Lepisosteus oculatus: one gene and its partner. The protein of the gene in region 2 interacts with the protein of the main gene of each other region in a biochemical or structural test. Links are inferred from orthologs where the notes say so. Each region holds a gene or a part of one and is shown on either strand. Other genes may lie near its edges.

Region 1 (7,489 bases), on a different chromosome or scaffold from region 2:
ATGAAAATGCATTTCCTTTAGAAAATGTCCCCCGTTAAAGGGGAATAACTACATCCTTGCAGATGTCTTACAGTAGGTGTGCATTAAAGACCATAACCCTAATCTTACCCTACCTCTATCCACATAAACCTCAACCTCTTTAGTATTGTACTGCCTAATGTTTGAAAATTTAGGAAACTAGAAAATTAGGAAACACGTTCTGTTACCGGGGTATTTATCCAATACCTCTCTCTTGAGAATGAGACAAAGGGTTCTGGCACCTTCAGAAGAAAATGAGACAGAACTCAGGCTGTGGACCATGACCACTTCAGGGACACTGCAGACAGACGGGAAGGACTCAAGTGATCTTCTGCAGGGACTGCCTCAGAAAAGAGGGGTAGGTCAGTTTGCCCGGTCTTGATGGAGCACATCGATGTTGTGTGAATTCATGCGCCAGCCCTCTTGCTGTCTGAGTGTCTGTTCGCCACCATCACTCTCTTGTCACACTTCAACAAGGCCACAGAAGCAGCCTGGAGCACTATATCCTTATCAGGGTGACTGGTAGGACAGACAAGGAGCAGCTTTTTATTAAAATCAGTGTGTTGATTTATGGCCAAAATGTAGGCATTCTAATGTTGTATAGATTGAGGAAAGTGGAATTTGTTGTTCTTTTTTAAGGTTGTAACGGTTGAAGATTACATTTCTGTAGGAAAAGAAAACGTTGGAAAAAAGTGCAATACTCACAAAAATCTAATCTTTCTCAAGGGAACTTTTTTTAAACAAAAAAAAGGGTTTGGAAATCTAATGTTTTTGGCAATGTGAAAAACTGTATTCAGTCATGTTTTAATTCTATGCAAACGTTTGCCGATATTGTTTTATATGTTATTTATATTTTCCAGCGACAGTACAGACTGCTGTAATTAAACACATTTCAAGTGCTCTATTTGTATTTCGTGTTGCCTTTGGATTGGTTTGTAATGACACCTAGTGGTACTTCTGGTTTATACAAGTAAAGCTCCACAACGCATAGTCGCTTGCTTTTTAAGCCTTTTTACGCACTGCGTCCTTGATGATTTATCTCACAAAATCCGTGTTTAGTCTTCATTTATTTTATTTTTTCAGTTTTATACATTATGAGAAAGCAGTGGGGCAAATTAAAGGTCTGGTTTTCCACTAAAGAGGCCTGTATTTAGGAAACGAGCAGTGGCTCTTTTTCGGCCATTCACCTTGTTAATACACCCGTACACACGTGAGGTTTGGCTCCTGTGCTCGAGTCTCCTGCAGCGTGTAGCTTTCATTTCATTCTTGCAGTCATACTGCAAGAGAAGCCAGATTTGACAGCTCTATTATTATGGCTAATGCCTACAGAAGGGGATAATTTTCAAATGAGTATAGAAAAATCCTCAAGGCCGCTTACAGAGTCTACACCTCAGACTTATGTCCAATGAACAGTGGCATATGAACCGGCAAAAGTGGAAACAAGATGGAAGGATTGTGGGAGTCTGGAATGAGCTTCTCAGCCGCGTCATTGAACCCGATACCCACTGAAACGGATCGCTTGTATCCCTAATACACTACTTAAAAGTTTGACATATTGTTTCTTTCGCAGCGATTTACATAAATTCCGTAGCATGATGACTTTTTTTTTATCCACCACATGAAAAATTACAGCAGTTCACCCCCGTTCACGCAGGGTGAGCACAGCTTTGGGGGAGTTTGGGGAGAGGGCTCAAGGCAGCGGAACACGGTACGCATCGGCCGCGGCTCTTCCTGTACTTCCAGCTCTGACGTCTAAGACAGTTAAACTGCCTTGTTGATCTGTAAATGCGAGCTCTCCTTTGTGAGCCACTGCGTAACGGATTTGCAAAAGCAACTTTCAGTGCAGGAAAAAAAAAACCGCGTTAAAATCATTCTCTCTCGCTATTTTCTGCTTTCCCTTCTCTCTCTTCTTCCCACCCTCTCCGCCAGCCCTTCAATCGCTCTTGTACTCAGCGGCCAATATGGAGCCAGCAACATCCCAGGCTCCATCACAAGCCGTGTGCTACCATGGCAACAGAAGAGCGGGTCGGCCAATCAGGTGAGAGCCATGAGGTCTGACAGATGTCATAAACTCGCTGCAGAGCCGCAGAGAAACACAGCCGCTCCAGATACAGACGCTGTTGCTCCAGCGGCACACGCCCAATGCACCGCTCACTTTCTGTCTGCAAAAGGTCTGTTAATCATCTGGTGCTGTACGCGCGCACTACAGGTTATGCTGTTCATTTCTCCTGTGTTCTTTGTTCATTTAATCTAGGCGTCCTAGCTCAGGAATTATCCAGACAAACCCTATTTTAGATACAGTATATAACCAAAGCATTGCACTGAAAATCACGTAATTATGGATAAATAACCCATTGTGGTCCCTTTATTTTCTATTAGCTCCTAGGTAAGAATATTTTTAAGAAGCTTTATGTGATGGCTCAAAGTTTCAGGGATTCATGTGAGGCCTCTATTTTGATATACAGGCCAATCTATATTCTGAAACATACATCAGGACATTTGGGATAGTTCTGGGTCTTTGTCCTCTGCCTTAATTAAACGAATTGGGAAAGTCAGGCATTTTCCCAACATTTTTTACATTTAGGACCCAGATTTTAAGTCAAATTTGGGATCCGGCCATCAATGGCCAATCCCAGGCCTTTGCTGTCCTTCCGTGGAAAGGTGCTCTCGGGGAGGAGGTTGGAATTTGGATAGGGGAAGACAGGCCGGTGTACACATCGGAGTCCTACCTGGAGGGTTTGGAGCAGATATTCAGTGACAGCACAGCGCCGGCGCTCGCAGAGAAGCTGCTGACAATGACACAGGAGGAAAGGAGGCAACCGGGAGGAGCAGATGGTAATACCAGTTATCCAGATGTGTCAGACTCCAGATGTGGGAGACCGGGGTTGTCTGGTTACATCCATCCATTTCCCAACCTCTTTATCCAGTAAAGGGCCGAGGGGAGCTGGAGCCTATTTTGGCAGGAGACGGGCGCAAGGCAGGATGGGAAGACACACTCACTGGGATGGCATCATCGAGTTCTTATTCCAAATTAGTCACTCATTTACCTAAGAATTATTCTCCCACAGATTTATCTAAAGTGGGAGACAATGCAAATGCTCATATGCTTCATTAAAGGGAGTTACCTATAAAACAGATCCTGGTGAGAAGTGTTCAAATTGTCTAGGCACAAGTAAAGGAAAAGATAGGTTTGAGCAGAGAGCCGTGTCAGCGTTGGGCACGAGGGAACAAGTATGCTTTCATTCAGTTTAGAGAAGGCCCCACACCTGAAGAAGGCTCACCAGCCAAAACACTTCTTTTCTTATACTGTTCACTGCAAAATGGGCATTTATTTCTTCCTTTGCAGCTGACACACCTCCTTGCTCGAACCTCTTCGAATTGTGTATCTGAGATCGGGTGGATCTCAAAACACAGGGATCCACTGGAATCAGGAGGCAGATCTCAAAACACTGAGATCCACTGGAATCCAAAAGTGGATCTCAAAACACAGATCCACTGGAATAAAAAGTAGATCTCAAAACACTGAGATCCACTGGAATCCAAAAGTGGATCTCAAAACACTGAGATCCACTGGAATCCAAAAGTGGATCTCAAAACACAGATCCACTGGAATAAAAAAGTAGATCTCAAAACACTGGGATCCACTAGAATCAAGAAGACACTGGGCCCACTCGGACACTCCTGAGGCGACGTCTGCAAGGAAAGAGATGCGGGTGTTTCTTCAGTCTAGAATATAAGAAATAGCCTGAGGGCTTTCTTTCCATGTCAAGACTGGGGCGCTGAAAAGACTTCGCCAATCGAAGACTCTCTGGAGTAAAGACTCGCAGTGGGCTAAAAGTACCAAGGCTGACAGACCCTGAGCTAAACTGAGCTGCAGCACGAGATACGTGCCCCTGAGATGAACAACAGATGGTGAGGAAATGGATTCGTGAAATTCAACATCTACAACACAAGATGGCGCAATGGCCAAACACCACGTTTAGCTGAGAGAAACAAAGTTTCATGTTTAAAATGCATCCCTACGATGGCGCGGTAATTACGTTTCAATCTTCATCTAAAAAGAACATACAACTGTTTTAAATATATATGTAGTGAAGTATTTAATGCATGTTATTCAGTTCACGGATCTCAGCAAAGTGTTATTTTACTTTAGATAGGTTTGGAAATATATCTGAAAGCCAAAAAAAGGACTGAAAAATGACGCAACTAGCTTGCCTAACTAGCAATGTCGACGAACAAATGTCTGGAAGTGGCACAAAGCGTTCACAAACTCCCGCATCTACAAAACACGGAGCTCTTGGAGGTCGCGGCTCCGGAGGGGACTGGCGCTGAAGAAAGTCGTGAGAGTCGAGACGCACTTGGGGTGCACCCCACGTGTTTCGCGCGAGTTCAGCGGGACCCGGAGCTCTGCAGGTACCCGCAGGGCCGATATCCGCCGCTGGGAGCTTGTTGCCAGGCAAGGCTGAAACACACGCTTTGTACCGCCTCTATTTCCAGATGTCCCCGATAGGCACTGCATCGAAGTAGCAATTATTATATAGTGTTATTGTTGGTGGTGGTGTGCTGTGGTTTTTCATCTAAGCCATTAAGAAACGTTTTTGATCTATACGGGCGGTGGTTATATTAGTAATTATTCCTGGGTTTTTAGAAAACGACAAAGTTAAACGTTTTGAACATAGGAACTCTTATCTTTGTACTTCGTGATTACTATTTAATCCTATCCACTTTCCTTCGAGATGAATACGCGCGACTAAAATACGGATTTTTTCATAATGAAAAAATATGGATGGTTAATCGTCCTGCGTTCTCGTATGGGTTCTGAATCCCACGAAAAAGGCTAGCGCGATTAAGTGTCCGATGAAACGGTAGCGCCGTATTAATTCAAATTCAATTGTATAATACACCGATATTTACGGTAATTCTGTTGCAGCACAAATCTTGCTCTGAATCCGTCAGGTTAAGCCTCCTCGTCACGCGTGTTGAGGTTGTGACGTGAGCTGGGCATTGATGTCGGGGGACACACGAAACCTCGCTCCTTCCCCGCAGAGAGGCGGTAGTTTCTGTGCGGGGTCGTGCCTCGAAGCGCGACGTTCAGAGGAAAAGCCGCTCGGGTCCCTGGTGCACAGGTGGCGCGGCGTGGATTGACGTTCACCCTTGTTCCCCCAGCCACGTTAAACGAAGGGCTCCCTCGCAGTGTGAAATAGCACTTCGCCATGTTTGAATCAAAGCAGGCCGTGGAGCGCCCCTCGGGTACACACAGCCGCAGGTGCGCTTCAGTCACGGAATGAAGTCTTGTGTGGAGAAGGGACGAGGGGGCTGGGGCTGGCTGGGGCACGGTGTTATTCGGTTAAAAAAAAAAAACAACACGGTCTTGGCGCCTGTTGCCCCAGCTTTTTAATCACTCCGCTTGAATGAATTATTTTTTCCTCCTGCTGCAGCGTGTTCACCAGACTCGCGGCGGGGGGAGGGGGTGTACTCGGGCCACAGAGTCTGCCAGCCGCCGCCGCCGAGCCAGTCAATGAATCCCTGGGCGTGAGAGGGGGGCCCTCGCTCACTAGACGCGCTGCGTCACTGCAGGCGAGCGATCCCGGCGCTGGGGGGCGCTGCGAGACCGGCCGCCGGCGGCGCGTCTCTCCGTGGTGACCCCGGCAGGAGGAGCGTCCGCGGCGGTCGGCGAATAGGAGGAGGAGCCGGGGAGAGCGAGAGAGGCAGGCGGCGAGAGAAGGCTGCTGGAAATGGGGAGAGAGAGAAGGGCGATCGGGGGGGACTCGCTCGTCTGACTGAAGAGCCACGAGTGCGAGTGGGAGAGAGGGGGCGAAGCAGAGGACAAAAGACGGAGCAGAAGAGGCAGGAGGGAGAGGGAGAGGCCGGCCTGCACGGGCGCAGGAATGAGAAGCTCGCTGTAGAGGAGAGGTGAGGACGGATCCCCCATGAGCCCGAGCCCGAGCCCGAGCCGCGAGCCGCGCGCGCCGCGCCGGACTGCGAGCTCTCGTGCGATCGCGTGCCTTCCGCCTGGCGTGCGCTCGGGGCAGCCGTCTCGCTCGGCGCGAGAGGCCGATGCGCGGGAGCCGCGGCTGACGCGTCCTCTCCTCTCCGCTGGTCCGGTCCCGGCCGAGCCCGCAGACTGCCAGCCTTGCCTGGGGGTTTACCCCCCACCCGAACTCCTTCTCCTGTTTTTTTTTAGGCCGGCCTGGGTCAGACTGTCCCACCCACCAGCTGAATCACATGGGACGGGGCGAGCAGACACAACACAGGCGTTCACGCCAGGTCGCAGCCGGCTCTCTGGCCGGGGCGGCAGGGTGTTCGCCCGCCGATTTGTAGCGGGGAGCGGGGGGCTCTCACGTTAGAGTCCGGTGCCCCTGAGCTGCTGTAGTTGGAGCCCCCTGACCGGGGGTGTTGCCTCCTATTACACCGTAGTGCCCTTCCTGTGTGTATAAGCGGCATGACCCCTGCGCCCCCCGAAATATCCCGGCGTTGCCCCCTGTTTTGACAGTCCGCGGGCAGACCCGGCACGTCCGAGCTCAGCGGCGATGAAGGGGCTCACCGGGCGGGCGGAAGTGCTGTATTACAGTCGGGTAACCCGCTGCTCCGGGGTCTGCCAGTGCAGGCTTCAGGACGAGGCAGCTGTAGGACTCACGGTGTTTATCAGTCGGAGTGGAATGACAAGAGTTCAACCTGAACAATGAGTCTGCGTTTTCCATATTTTGTAGCGTTTTGCTTTGGAAGCCATCGTTTTACAGCTTTGCGACGTAGTAAATATGAGGTGCCGCTAACTTTGTTTTCTTATTGTACATACATGTGTGGTAAGAAATCCTAAACTTCACATTATTTGTGGTGGGTTATGGCTTAACAATGTTGACCTGTCGTGTCAAGTAAAGGTAACGTGAATAATGGAAAATGAAACAGCCGGTGTTCTTTCTGTGAACCCTTTTATATATATATATCAATAAACTGTCCACCTTGATCAATAATTGTTTCTCCAACAAGCATTCTTCACACAGGAGGTGTCTCTCAAACTGTGGGGTGCTGTGTATAAAGGGCACACACCCCTTATTCTCTTACTGTAGGTTCTGAGTGAGCTCCCTGCCTCTCCCATCGAAGTGATGGCAGGGGTTTCTGAAAAGGGGCAGTCGACACAAAAATAGATTTTGTTTCAGAATTTATGACTGTGGTGTCTGAGGGGATTTCTGTATTGAAAGAATGTTTTATTAAGGATAGAAAGCTGGGTTTTCCGAATCGGTTCCTTCAGGGCTCCTGTGTCCTTTGGTGTTTATGCAGACCAGAGCGGTCAATTAAGCAATTAACCTCATTCCTTTCTCAGTTTAGATGCAAGGAGGATGTTTCCTCCATTCGTTCACAGTTGATTGCTCCCAAGTGTTCACTTTATTAGCGACACTGAGAAAGCGTCTCAGTGCCTGGTCCGAGTTACCATAATTATGCACTTGATTAGCAAAAACCAGAGCTGAGCTTG
Region 2 (7,895 bases):
CGTTTCCTCTCCCCGTGCTCAATCCTTGTCCTTTCTCTGTGCCAGCGGGGGAGGTGCTGGGCGACGTGTTCGAGGTGTCCATGATCCGCCGCGATGATTTTGAGTTCCACCGCGGGAAGTCGGAGTACGAGGATCTCCTGCAGAGCAACAACCTGCCTTCCACCCTCACCCCCCGTGGGCACCAGACCCCCGCGGCCTTCCTCATCATGGCATCAGGGCTGGACAAGGTACACAACACTGCACAGAACACACGACCACGCACACTACACACCAGAGCCCCGCGGCCTTCCTCATCATGGCATCAGGGCTGGACAAGGTACACAACACTGCACAGAACACACGACCACGCACACTACACACCAGAGCCCCGCGGCCTTCCTCATCATGGCATCAGGGCTGGACAAGGTACACAACACTGCACACTACACACCAGACCCCCGCGGCCTTCCTCATCATGGCATCAGGGCTGGACAAGGTACACAACACTGCACAGAACACACGACCACGCACACTACACACCAGACCCCCGCGGCCTTCCTCATCATGGCATCAGGGCTGGACAAGGTACACAACACTGCACACTACACACCAGAGCCCCGCGGCCTTCCTCATCATGGCATCAGGGCTGGACAAGGTACACAACACTGCACAGAACACACGACCACGCACACTACACACCAGAGCCCCGCGGCCTTCCTCATCATGGCATCAGGGCTGGACAAGGTACACAACACTGCACAGAACACACGACCACGCACACTACACACCAGAGCCCCGCGGCCTTCCTCATCATGGCATCAGGGCTGGACAAGGTACACAACACTGCACAGAACACACGACCACGCACACTACACACCAGAGCCCCGCGGCCTTCCTCATCATGGCATCAGGGCTGGACAAGGTACACAACACTGCACACTACACACCAGACCCCCGCGGCCTTCCTCATCATGGCATCAGGGCTGGACAAGGTACACAACACTGCACAGAACACACGACCACGCACACTACACACCAGACCCCCGCGGCCTTCCTCATCATGGCTTCAGGGCTGGACAGGGTGCACAACACTGCACAGAACACACAACCACGCACACTACACACCAGACCCCCGCGGCCTTCCTCATCATGGCATCAGGGCTGGACAAGGTACACAACACTGCACAGAACACACAACCACGCACACTACACACCAGAGCCCCGCGGCCTTCCTCATCATGGCATCAGGGCTGGACAAGGTACACAACACTGCACAGAACACACAACCATGCACACTACACACCAGACCCCCGCGGCCTTCCTCATCATGGCATCAGGGCTGGACAAGGTACACAACACTGCACAGAACACACGACCACGCACACTACACACCAGAGCCCCGCGGCCTTCCTCATCATGGCATCAGGGCTGGACAAGGTACACAACACTGCACAGAACACACGACCACGCACACTACACACCAGACCCCCGCGGCCTTCCTCATCGTGGCATCAGGACTGGACAAGTTGCAGAACACACAACCACGCACACTACACACCAGACCCCCGCGGCCTTCCTCATCATGGCATCAGGGCTGGACAAGGTACACAAAACTGCACAGAACACACAACCACGCACACTACACACCAGACCCCCGCGGCCTTCCTCATCGTGGCATCAGGACTGGACAAGTTGCAGAACACACAACCACACACACTACACACCAGACCCCCGCGGCCTTCCTCATCATGGCATCAGGGCTGTACAAGGTACACAACGCACAACCACACACACTACACACCAGAGCCCTGCAGCCTTCCTCATCATGGCATCAAGACACTGGGACACTGAGCAAACAACACTGTACTATTCACACCAGACTCCCCTGCCCTCCACATCACAGTGTGTGGGCTGGACATCGAGCACACAACAATCCACACATTAAACAACTGTACACACACTACACACCAGACCCCCCTGCCCTCCACATCGCAGTGTCTAGGCTGGACATCGAGCACACAACTGTACACACTACACACCAGAACCCCTTGTCCTCCACATCGCAGTGTCTGGGCTGTTGCATTGAGCTTTTGTAGATAAGACTCATAGAGAAAACGCTCTGGATGTAGGATCCTGGGATCTGGACTTGGGGAAACTCTGCTCTGTACTGACATGTTCACTCCTCCCTCTCACCCGTAGCACGGCACGGACTCCGAACAGCCTCTGCGTTACTCCCACATCGACATCGCCGGCTCCTCCGGCCCTTTCCCAGGAATCCCGACCGGAGCGCCGATCCTGGCCATGGCCACACGCTACGTCCTGCCCTGCCTCTGAGTGTCTGTCGGAGCAGAGTGAATGACAAGACGTTTTTGCTGTTTGTACACGTAAACGGTTCGCAGAGCGTGTGTGTGTGTGTCCGGAGAAAAACTGGATCCTCAACACGATGCAATAAAAAGGCCTAAATGATGAAAGTGTTTTCTTGATTTATGTTGCGTGTTGCTGGTTTATCATCTAGCATTATTTTTCCAGTGTAAGCACTTGTCTAATGACTTCATTTACTGCAATTTACCGAGTTTACAAAAACAGAACAGCACTACACGTACAAGAGTAACACCGTGTAAATGCACCTAAAAAGGTCCGACTTGCCTTGAGTGTACACTTGACAGTGTACCTTAGTTCTGCAGGAACACAACTAACAGTTGCAATCGTGTGAGAGGGGTTGCAGTACTCCTACAGTCCTTTCTTATGCCATCAGTAAAATGTTTGAACTAGCTGCTGTTTTCCCTCTCCCGAACAATGCAACTCATTGGTGTAGTTTTCACACCAGTCTTCATCACTTTCCTTAACCAGTTGCGCCTGCTGTCGCGACGACCTCGTCTTCTCCGTCCACAGGTTTGAATTTCTCCCATCGGCGGCACAGTAAGTGGTATTAGTAGCTGAAGTTTCTTCTCTTCCAGTTGCTGCCCTCATCGGTGAGTCCCAGAAATCGGGGCTTGTTCCTTTAGGCCAGGCTTTTCTTAACCGCAAACTTCACACCTAGATGTGGAGATCCTTAACAACTGCTGTCCTGTTTCTGATCTCCTTTTCCTACCCAAGAGTCCTGAAAGGGAGGTGTCGGCTCAATTGCAATCTTCCGTGGCTGCCAGTGAGATCCTCAAACCTTTTCATCCAGGTTAAAGTAAATCGGTTGTTAAAGTAGTTAATTCATCATGGCTTGAACTTGGGGTCACTCCATAATCTTCTCCTGGTTTAAAGTGCTGCGTTTTGATACTGTCAATCGCTGCACCCCATGGGACAGCATGGGCAAACTCCATCAGACATTAAACCTTTCTTGTATCCACATTGTACTGGAAAGGACTACAACTAAGATCAATTTAATGGAAAAGACCAAGATGTTGCTCAGTGTAACTGTGACATGACTGAAATTATGTTCAATTTAATTGACAAGACTGAGATTATGCTCAATTTAACTGTGACAGATGGAGATTTATGCTGTTTGATTGAGAAGACTGAGATTATGCTCATAGGCTCCCAACCTGAATTTTGTAGACCTGCTGACTTCGGCGGTGCTGTGGAAATTAAACCTCAGAGGGATGATGGTAACCACCAAGTTCCTTCTGCCCCTGTGGTATCTTTTACTACTCATCAGCCCAGGTTTGGAGCATCACGAGGGCATCTTCCTCCAGCAGAGCTGGGTGCCTGCAAAGCCCAGCGTCTTCTGAACAGTCGCTGTTGCACTGATGGTCTATCTCACGAGCTGCACAGCTGTGATACATCTAGCCAGGCTCAGAGGGGGGTATAGGTATCTGTACCTTCAGTGTAATCATAAAAGACTTCAAGAAAAATGAGGCATATGTCCAGCTCAGAAAATAATTAGGCTAATTGTTTGACTGCTCAGGTTGGAATACAATCTAGATGCCAGCACCCTCCAGAAACAGAGTTTGAGACTGTAGACCTTGCTGATCCTGGAATATTAATACATCTTTTAGTTCATTACTATTAGACTGCTGTGCTGATCCTCTCTCCCTTTCTCGTCTGTTTGTGTCTCACTTATTAACACTCATTAAAAGTGGGTGTAAGGACAGGAATCCGAATGAAAAGAGTAGTCGCTGGTTTCAGGAAGACAATTTCTTTTGATATTTTTGTCCAGTTGTCAGAGGTTTGATGAAAAGCGCTCATTTAATTGATTAAAAAATATATTTTTTAGTTTTACCTATCACGGAATACTGTACCTTTGCTCTGCATCCCTGATTTTACATGAGAAAAATACTAATCAATCACCTTAAAAATCCTTTACTTTCAGTTCTTACACATTTTCTTTTCCAGCACTTTATGCCTATTCTAAATGTGGTCCAATGTGTCAACAGGCCATGTTTTTACCGCCTGACTCAACAAACTCCCTTGTGCGTTTCAGAACAAAAAAACATAAAAACAAATTAGCGCCCTTTTAAACTACACGGCACTTCCTCCAGGGGTCGAGTCGGATGGGAACCCAGTCTGCGAGGAGGCTCGCTGAAGTGAAGGGTAAACGCGGAAAAGCCAGAGCCAAAATGGCGGATACGGGTGGGCGGGCTGTCCCCGACCGTCTCCCCAGCGGTGATTGGCTGATCTCGGTGTCATTCCCAGTGATTTGCCGCGCTCGATTCTGGGTGCTTCGCCTCGTCGGCACGACCGACTGAGGACAACATCGCACTTCATAATGTGCTTGTTTGACCCTGGGTATATAGTTGACTACCTCTGATGAAAATCGCAGTGTTTTAGTCGTCTCTATGCTGCGCGCAAACCAAGGCACGCGCGTCTTAGCCAATCATCGCCTGGGTGACGGTCGGGGTTTCCCGGATGTGGGCGGAGGGGTTGTAGTGACGTCAGAGGAACAAGAATAAAACTCGGCGATTCCCGCCAGCTCGTCTTTGTATTTCAGTCGCCGGAGTAGCAAGCATAGTTAGTGCTGCTGCGGTTATTTAGCCAGGAGTCAATAACTTTGAGCCTGACGCTTGAGGAACCTGCGTTTCCACCCATTTCTCTTTTTGCACGCCCACGCACACACAGGTCGTTCCTGCAACATGTTCGAGGCTCGGCTGGTCCAGGGCTCGATCCTGAAGAAGGTGCTGGAGGCCCTGAAGGACCTGATCACCGAGGCGTGCTGGGACATCAGCTCGTCCGGCATCTCGCTGCAGAGCATGGACTCCTCGCACGTCTCGCTGGTGCAGCTGACGCTGCGTAGCGACGGCTTCGACTCCTACCGCTGCGATCGCAACCTGGCCATGGGGGTGAACCTGAGCAGGTGAGCTGAGCTGGGCCGAGCCGGTCCCGGGAGGAGGTCTCGTCCGCGGGCAGCCCTCCCGCGCGCTGCTGTCCGACACCCGGGTTCGGATCTTGCGTATCTGATGCATTATTGTATTTTCCAAAGCGCCTGTTAACACGGGTTATAAAGTGCGCTGTCGATCGGCTCTTCACATTGAGTTTTAGAGCGGTGAAGTCGTTGTAAATAATTACTGCGCGCCGTGGCGCAGAGGGAACTAGTTTTCGCGGGTGCTGGTCAGTAAAGTAGTAGTAGCCCATTCCCCCGTGACCCGGGTGTCTTGACGTTTCCCCGGACGGTGCTCTGTGCTTGGAGTAGTAGCGCCGCGCCGGGCATGTCTGTACATGAGCGGATCTCCGGACTGGCGCTCCGTCACCTGACTGAACCGTTCTGGGAATTTGAAATGACTAAAATAACTTATATAATATACAGCGCTATTGATCTGTTGCGTTTGTTTTTTTTTTTCGAAATAGCAATCCAGGATGCGTTAAAGAATAATAAACGGTGCATCGCTGTTATAAGTTCATAAATGTTATCCCTGAGGTCTGTATTTCAGTTCCGGCTTTTTTAACTTGAGCACTCAGCCTGTAAATCACAGGGCGTGTAGATGCCCTGTTTTGCCCCTTTTAAGTTTGTGTCAAAGTGAACTCGGGCGCCTGGATGGTTTTTTTTTGTTGCTGCTCTGGCGCCACGAGTTGGGAAAACGGAATAGGAAATCAAAAGGCGGCATGGCTGCCCCTGCCCCGTGACGTCACTTCGGCGCCAAATTCGCAAACGGGGGTCTTGTTGGCGGGAAAGTACAATGTGCTCTGCGTGCAGGGAGAGACGCAGCCCTGTAGGTCTGAGCATGATCAGCGTCTCACTTGTTCGAGTGAGTGTCAGTTTTTAACATTTAGATTCAGAAGATCGATGCCATAAAATACTATATGCGATTCTTCAGAGATTTGTGTGGCATACAGGCAGCCCGATTTGCGCACAGAAACTTCCAGAAAACCGTACAAACAAACATTTCAAACGAATAGAACATTTCATAAGCAGACAGAGCCCGTAAATTTACTCCCCCTGCAATGGCGATGGACGCGTTGTAGATGATACATGAATAATGCACCTTCGCAGAACAGAGGCAGGTGTCCGACAGTTCGCTGTGCAGGGGCAGATCACCCTGAGGGAGACGGCCAGGAGCAGCAGTTCAGTGTCCTGTCTCGGGATGAGAGAGATGTGGGCTCAGGTGGCATGTGGGGTGTTGATTTGGGACATCTCTCCGATGACCTGCTGCTAGTCACTGTAGGTGAGGATTTTTTTGGGCTGACTAGATTTTAAAATCCCCCTGATGGTCAATAAATAGATGAACGGCGTCCCCAGACGTTGAAGAAGTTCAGGCGGGGAGCTGCGTCGGCATGGCTGGGCTGCAAAGCCGCAAGTCAAGGTTAGATAGATACTTTATTGATCCCGTGAGGGAAATTGCAGTGCAACAGCAGCTTAACACACACAACACAGCCACAGTGTAACGAATTATATAATAATAGTACAATACATACAATACAATACAAGAGTTACTCACAGTCCGGACACACAAAGAACAAACTAGAACAGAACAGTACACAGAAAAATCGTATCACACATATGAATATAAATATAGATATACATATAAATGTATTGCACAGGTCCCTGGCATATATTGCACAAAAAATGGTTGTAAACGGGGGAAAAGAAAGAGAACAGATGTAGCAGTAGATGCGTTTAGTCCAGAAACTTCCTGTTGATTCCTGTGCTGAAAAGGAAAAGAGACGAGGGTCTGGCTGTGGAGCCTCATTCACCCTTCAGAAGGCTCCCGAGCCGAACTTGTCTCTTCCAGCGCGGAATAAACCCTTACCTCTTGCTTCGCTCCCGAACGTTTGCGAAGGGGCCCGTCTCTCCGGGATGTGGGGGTGGCGGAGAGTGGCAGCTTTGACCCGGCAGGTCTGGGGGGGCCGGACAGTTGCGGGGCCACTCAGGGACGCTCTCTCCTGTCGCTGCAGCATGTCGAAGATCCTGAAGTGCGCAGGGAACGAGGACATCATCACGCTGCGCGCGGAGGACAACGCCGACACGCTGGCCCTGGTGTTCGAGACGCTCAGTGAGTGGGTTGTGAGCTCGGGGTTGTGGAACTCCCTTACACAAAGGGGGGGTGGGAGTGTGGAACAGGCGATGGTTATCGGACAGGATCAGGTAGCCGCTGCTAACTAGTCCGAGCGGCCTCTTCCTGTTTTCGGCTTGTATCACCGGGCGGGGTTGGTGATGGGCTGTGCTCGGTGCTGTGATTTTGCTCCAGAGGACAGTGGAGCTCACCCTGGGGCGCCAGGAGCTTGACTCTCCCTCTCGTCTCCTCCCCCCCCAGATCAGGAGAAGGTGTCGGACTACGAGATGAAGCTGATGGACCTCGATGTGGAGCAGCTGGGGATCCCAGTAAGTGCCCCTCTCCTGAAGAGGGTCCCGGGCTCGTCGGTGGTCCTGTAGTCCAGGTCGGCGCCGAGGGAGCAGGTTTTTAACGATCCAGTGATTAGAACGCTAGACTGATCGTTTAAGTACAAGCCCGACCTATTTCCCCTATTTCTGCCTTGCTCTGTAAACATCT

What was found.
Region 1: the proteins of pcna (region 2) and rev1 form a complex in vitro, tested with the Homo sapiens proteins (2 studies listed by BioGRID, with this or other methods). The link is inferred for Lepisosteus oculatus from reciprocal best matches to the Homo sapiens genes PCNA and REV1.

Annotation. Positions count from the first base shown.
Region 1 is NC_090710.1:2,840,421-2,847,909, forward strand, and holds the start of rev1 (DNA repair protein REV1), read left to right. Parts: upstream 1-4,412; 5' UTR 4,413-4,431; intron 4,432-5,051; exon of another isoform or gene 5,052-5,284; intron 5,285-5,407; exon of another isoform or gene 5,408-5,931; intron 5,932-6,026; exon of another isoform or gene 6,027-6,821; intron 6,822-7,489. UniProt on the Homo sapiens protein: Deoxycytidyl transferase involved in DNA repair. Transfers a dCMP residue from dCTP to the 3'-end of a DNA primer in a template-dependent reaction.
Region 2 is NC_090697.1:65,499,349-65,507,243, forward strand, and holds the start of pcna (proliferating cell nuclear antigen), read left to right. Parts: upstream 1-4,848; 5' UTR 4,849-5,042; coding exon 5,043-5,263; intron 5,264-7,299; coding exon 7,300-7,397; intron 7,398-7,658; coding exon 7,659-7,726; intron 7,727-7,895. Other genes in the region: putative aminopeptidase W07G4.4, read left to right, coding at 46-227, 2,179-2,313. UniProt on the Homo sapiens protein: Auxiliary protein of DNA polymerase delta and epsilon, is involved in the control of eukaryotic DNA replication by increasing the polymerase's processibility during elongation of the leading strand.